2 linked regions of the Ovis aries genome follow. The protein of the gene in region 1 interacts with the protein of each later gene in a pairwise test. Links are inferred from orthologs where the notes say so. Each region holds a gene or a part of one and is shown on either strand. Other genes may lie near its edges.

Region 1 (2,590 bases):
CTGGCATGCCTGTCTGAGGCTTGATAAAGAACTGCCCATGCCACAGGTTCCTGGAAATTGTGTGCAGGATCTGTTGTGCCTGTTTGCTCTTTGGAGCTTAGCACGTGCAAGGACTGACACGCATGACACACACCTGGGGAAATAACACATTTGGCACACATAGTGTACTGAGACTGTCAGTGTTTGTTGCCTTGGGGCTTGTGTGCAAAGACAGAAAAGACAGATACATAGAGGACTTAACACGTGTGGCGACCTGCATGGCTGATAGAATGTGAGGATTTAGAACATGGAGATAGGCATGATGAGGATATGGCCGGGCTTCCTATGTACTGAATCTATCATGTCCTAGACGTTAGACTCGCTTGCCTCGTAGATGGGGTCTCTGTGTGTGTGCTCACACTATCACATCTGGTGTATAAGGGCTTGCTTAGCATACACTGAGTCATCGCGCCCATCACCTGGAGGCCTGGTAGCAGCTGAGGTCATCATATTCTGGGACATGTGAGGACTTCACTTAGGCCAAACCCTCAGGTCACATGCTCAGCCAGCATGTCTGGTGTTGGGGGAAAGTTAGCATGTGCAACATACGAGGTGGGGACCCTGGTGAAAATGCATGGACACCACCTTCAAGGCTGCGGGAGCAGCAGGGACCCTCCTGGAGGGTAGCAGAGGGTGGCACTCAGGAGCTTGGGACACAGCCTCTGACGGGACCCCTGTCCCCCACAGGGTCCCGGAAGCTGGAGTATGGAGGCCAGACGTGGCATGAACACTGCTTCCTGTGCAGCGGCTGTGAGCAGCCGCTGGGCTCCCGTTCCTTTGTGCCCGACAAAGGCGCTCACTACTGCGTGCCCTGCTATGAGAACAAGTTTGCTCCTCGCTGCGCCCGCTGCAGCAAGGTGGGGGCGGCGTGGAGCTCCACTGCACTCAGGGGAGGGGGTGAGCAAGGCTCTGTTGTTGCGGGGTGGGAATCCCCACGCCTCCCCCTCTGCTGACAGAGGCTGCCCCCACAGACGCTGACACAGGGTGGCGTGACATACCGTGACCAGCCCTGGCATCGAGAATGCCTGGTCTGCACTGGGTGCCAGACGCCCCTGGCAGGGCAGCAGTTCACCTCCCGAGAGGACGATCCCTACTGTGTGACCTGTTTTGGAGAACTCTTTGCACCCAAGTGCAGCAGCTGCAAGCGCCCCATCACAGGTGGGTCAGGGGGTCCAAAGACCGAATGGGTCGGGTGTAGGCGGAGGCGGGGGGGGGCAGGGGATCTGGTCTCCATGAGGCCAAGGGACAGGACCGCCCTCCAGACGGCAGCACTAATCCTCAGCCTCCCTCCAGGACTCGGTGGAGGCAAGTATGTGTCCTTCGAAGACCGCCACTGGCACCACAGCTGCTTCTCCTGCGCCCGCTGCTCCACCTCCCTGGTGGGTCAGGGCTTCGTGCCGGATGGAGACCAAGTGCTGTGCCAGGGCTGCAGCCAGGCAGGGCCCTGAGCCAGGGCTCCGGGACTAAGGCTTCTCCTCCAGACCGCCTCTGGGACCCAGCCTTTCCCCAGTTTGGGGCTCCCCTTGGGTTCCAGGATTCAGCCTCCCCACTCCAGCGTCCTCAATCTGGTACTTCCTGACCCAGGGCCCCCAAACTTGGGCTCTCCCGGAGCCTTCATCATTCAAACCCCCTCCTCAAATCTGAACTCCAGAACTCTGTCCTCTCCCTTTGGGTCGGGCTTGCTTCCCAGACCAAGCCCTTTCTCCAAATCAGGGCTCTGGGACCCAATCCCCCTTCAATGTAGACTTGTCTACAAAGACTTTAGGTCTCCTTTGGGTGCCTGAGAGGTCCTCAAAAGTCAAATATACTCAGGCTTGACGCTCCCCACCCCTGTCCCACTGGGATCCCCAAGGATGGGGCTGTCTGGGCAGCACTGGTTAGGGGGTCCTAGGGTACAGGTTTTTGCCCATCCCGTGTTGTGTTTTCTCTTTTCATTTCAGCTCCATTTTGCCCAGAGATGGGCAGAGGGGTGGGTTTGGCTTGCCCCCGTTTCAGATTCTGCAATAAAGCAGTATGAGAAAGTGAAGGCCTCTGTTTGGCTGGGGGTAGGGGGAGCGGGCGGAGGTGGGTGGAGGGGCAAGGAAGGTTCCTTCGCCATAGCTAGGGAATTCGGAGGCTCTTCCCACCTCCTCCCCGCAGGACAGAAGGAAGCTTCCAGGCGGGGTGGGAAATCTCTCCAGAGAAAGGGGATCCCCGCCGCCGCTACCGTCCCTCTCTGGTTTAGCCGGCCTCCCTTCCACCTCCCCCGCCTGCTGGCAAAGGGCTTTTTCCTCCAGTGAGGAAGGGAGGGATTTAGGGAGTTTGCGGACCGGAGCCGGCGCGGGGGCGGCTGGTGTTGGGTTCTCCGTCAGGTACAAGTCACTCCCCTCCCTTAACAGCCCCCCACGAACCCCACGGAGCATCCAGTGCGAATCCCGAGTCTGGGCCCAGACCCTCAGCCCCCTTCCCCCTCTTTCCTAGGATTAGCGGAGGCGGCCCGGGATCCGCTCGCGGCTGCACGTTTTTTGCCAAAAAAGGCAAGGACGCAGCTGCACGCGCCGCGGGAACATCT
Region 2 (3,656 bases), on another chromosome or scaffold:
CAGCGGAGAGGAAACTTCAGTTGAGTGCCCGGTTCATGGGCAAGACTCACGACAAGACTCATACCCCATCAGACAACACTGCTGTTACTGGTATGTCATGATGTAAAGAGGTAGAAAGATGCCCTGTGAAGCAGCCCTGGGCAGAGAGGCCCCAAAACAAGACTCCAGATCAGGCCTGAGGCACCCCTACCAGGATGAGGAGGCAACAAGAGACTTAGGCTCAAATATCCCCAGAGGTCGCAAGAAACACGGCCTGCTCTCTGCGTAGACAGCACATGGCGTGAACACACAGACCTGCAGATTCAAACCCCCCAAAATGAAGTTTATTCTTTGGCACTTCATACTTGGCAAGGGATGATCATAATGTCAATGTATACAATGATTAAACTAGTAAAATACATCTGGATGGGAAGGAAACCTCAGAGACCAGCTTTGATTCCATGAGCACAGGGTAAAGGGGCCAAGATGGGGAGACAGCAGAGGGAGGGTTAGGGGACTGATTAGCCAGTGATTAAATGTCATTTTTCTTGAGTCAAGTGATTCTTGTTTTATTCAAGTGTCCAGGAAACAACGATGAAATTTTTTTTTCAGTTTTGGGGAATTCTTTTTTTTTTTTCTCTTTTGGTCCAATGAATAGCTCAACCATATGATTTTATAAGTATTGTGCAATTCCTAAATTACAGCCTTTAAAAATCAGGCTGACACTGTCAACTCCTGCTGGTTGGGATTTTCTGAATCACCTACAGAAAAACGGCTGCTCCGCCGAGAGCCTGTCTGAGAAACGGGCCGGTATATTCTGTGCCCCAAAGCATCTATTTCCTCAAAGATGTAGCCAGGAGGCTCAGGGTATGAAGCCAGGCACCTACTCATTTCCTTAGGAGTAAAGCTGATGGTGTATGTGGTCTGGCCCTCCACAGGGATATTTCCTCGGGGCCCAGACCAGACGGGCTTGCAGCTTTTGGTCATCATGGGCAGGTGGGGCACATAGTGGGTTCGTGTGGTGGTCAGGCAGTCCAAGGGCTCAGTGGGAAGGTTCAGCTGGGGGATGGGCTTGATTGGCTCTGTCCGCGTGCTGGCCCACTGCTTGTAGTCCTCTTTGGTCGTGGTGGAGCCTTCAAAGCGGCCACCCTTCTTGACCGAGAGCACAGGTCGGCAGGACTCAGCTGGGGCACCCTTAGGGTACGTGTAGTGGGCTTGCACAGTTGTCAAAAGGTCCATCTTCTCTTCAGGAGGGACATACATGGCAGGAGGTTTGGAGAACACCTGGGGCGTTGGCCAGGCTTGGTACTTATCTCTAAACTCAGTGGTGTTAGAAAATGGCGTGTCGAGCCCACAAGGCCTGGCAGGTTTCAAGCTCTTGGCTGGCTCCCCCATCAGACCCCGGTATGACTCTTTGTGGGTGGTGAGGCTTTCAAAGGGGATTTCACAGGGTCTGAACTTCTCTGGCTCATGCACAAAGCGCTTCTCCAAGGGGTGGGGCACGTAGCTCATCTTGTAGTTTGTCAGATCCTCCAGGGGGATGTTACAGAGCTTGGGCACAGCTGGAGGCTTACAGCTCCTGGTGTTCACCAGGCCCTTCATGGAGTAGTCGTCCTGCTGTGTGGTGCGACTATCAAACTTGGTTGATGCTGGCCGGTAGTGGTGAGGTGGACGAAGCAGCTCTCGTCTTGGTTGGTTCCAGGGTAAATAGTCAGCTGAAAATAAAGCAGAGGCGGTGATTATTCATAAATCCCATCACTCAACCTGCATGTATTCCCAGAAGCCACAAGCCAGTCTTCAGGGAGATGTTTCAGGAGACAGAGGAAAACCAGACTAGATCCCTGCCACCACCTCAACCAAGGGTTTAATGTTTCAGCTTTGTGGTATTTGCAGATTATTGTGCAGCAGAAGGCTTCCCAAGTGGTGCTAGTGGTAAAGAACCCGCCTGCCAATGCAAAAGATGTAAGAGATGCAGTTTCGCTCCCTGGGTCAGGAAGGTCTCCTGGAGGAGGGCATGGCAGCCCACTCCACTATTCTTGCCTGGAGAATCCCCATGGACAGAGGAGCCTGGTGGGCTACAGTCCATGGGATCACAAAGAGTCAGACACGACTGAAGTGACTTAGCACGCACACACATGCAGAAGAGACTAATTTATAGGAGTCTCATCACACCCACAGTGCTGCATGTGGGGACTGTAGAGGGTCCAGGGCCATGAGTGGACCCATGGAATGGACTCCAACAGAGAAGTCCAACTGCTGGTTTTCCCTTATCCAAGAACAGTTCCATTCCTCTAAGGGAAGGTGCCCTTGTGAATCAGCAAAGAGTGACTGAGCCACCAGCCAGACTTGCTAGGCCTCCTGGTCATCCATGGGGCGATTGCCATCATGTTGCTATCATCACACATACACTCCACATACATCAAATATGGCACTCCAGGGGAATAAGGGGCACTGCGCTGGCTAACCAATTCTGAATCCACAGGGAATTCTCTTGCCTACAACTTTACAAAGAGAACAAAAGTAGTCTTTGAGGTATATAGCCAATACCAGTGGAGTCCACAGGCACACTTTTTTTAAACAGCTTTCTTGAGGTATAATTCGTATAAATGTAAATGTGCCATTTATATTTATAGAAATATAAAATGCACCATCTTACGCACATAATAATTTCTACTGAGTTGTGCAACAATTTATAATCAAAATCTAGTTACGCTGAATCCCTTGCTGTACCACATAAATTAACAAAACATCGTAAATCAACTATACTTTAATAAAAAGAATTTTTTTTAATCTAGTTATAGAACATTTCCATCACCACCCTAAAAATCTAATCAAGCCAATTTGCTATCTTCATTCTCATCCCTGGGCAATAATTAATCATTTCTTGGTCACTCTAAATGTGGCTTTTCTGGACATTTTCTATGAATGGAATTGCACAATATATAGTGTTTTGTATTGGCTTCCTCCACTAAGCATAACGTAAAGGAAGTCCATCCCTGTCGTAGCATGCACCAGTTGACTCCCTTTTATTGTTGACTAGTATTAGAGTAAATTTTGTTTATCCATTCTTCATTTGATGGGCATTTGGATTGTTGTCATCATTTCGTTATTATGAAAATTTCTGCTAGGAACATTTATAGACAAGTGTGTGTGAGGCTACATCTTTTCATTTTCCTTAGGTAGATACCAAGAAGCAAAATTGCTAAGCTATATGTTTAATTTATGTGTAACTTTTCCACATACCGCAAACTTTTCCAAAGTGGTGCGTGCCACTTCACATTCCCACCAAGCAATGTATGAAAGTTCTCATTTCTGCACATCAACACTTGTTATCATGATTTGTTTTTTAATTATAGGCATTCTATAGTGGGTGTGTAGTGGCATCTCATTGTATTTTAATTTACATTGCCCTAATGATTAAAATTTTTGAGTATCTGTGTATGTGCTTGTTTTTGACTGTATAGAGCTTCTCCATCTTTTCCTGCAGAGAATATAACCAATCTGATTTTGGTGTTGACCACCTGGTGATGTCCATGTGTAGAGTCTTCTCTTGTGTTGTTGGAAGAGGGTGTTTGCTATGACCAGTGCATTTTCTTGGCAAAACTCTATTAGTCTTTGCCCTGCTTCATTCCACATTTCAAGGCCAAATTTGCCTGTTACTCCAGGTGTTTCTCGAC

Evidence for each region. The genes of interacting proteins can lie anywhere in the genome.
Region 2: the proteins of FHL3 (region 1) and SAXO1 interact in binary tests that used the Homo sapiens proteins (3 or more experiments, as listed by UniProt). The two-hybrid records come from large-scale screens. The link is inferred for Ovis aries from reciprocal best matches to the Homo sapiens genes FHL3 and SAXO1.

What each region holds. Positions count from the first base shown.
Region 1 is NC_056054.1:12,739,681-12,742,270, reverse strand, and holds the end of FHL3 (four and a half LIM domains protein 3), read left to right. Parts: intron 1-726; coding exon 727-896; intron 897-1,010; coding exon 1,011-1,487; 3' UTR 1,488-2,065; downstream 2,066-2,590. UniProt on the Homo sapiens protein: Recruited by SOX15 to FOXK1 promoters where it acts as a transcriptional coactivator of FOXK1.
Region 2 is NC_056055.1:87,518,623-87,522,278, forward strand, and holds the end of SAXO1 (stabilizer of axonemal microtubules 1), read right to left. Parts: intron 1,695-3,656; coding exon 694-1,694; 3' UTR 522-693; downstream 1-521. UniProt on the Homo sapiens protein: May play a role in the regulation of cilium length. Stabilizes microtubules at low temperature.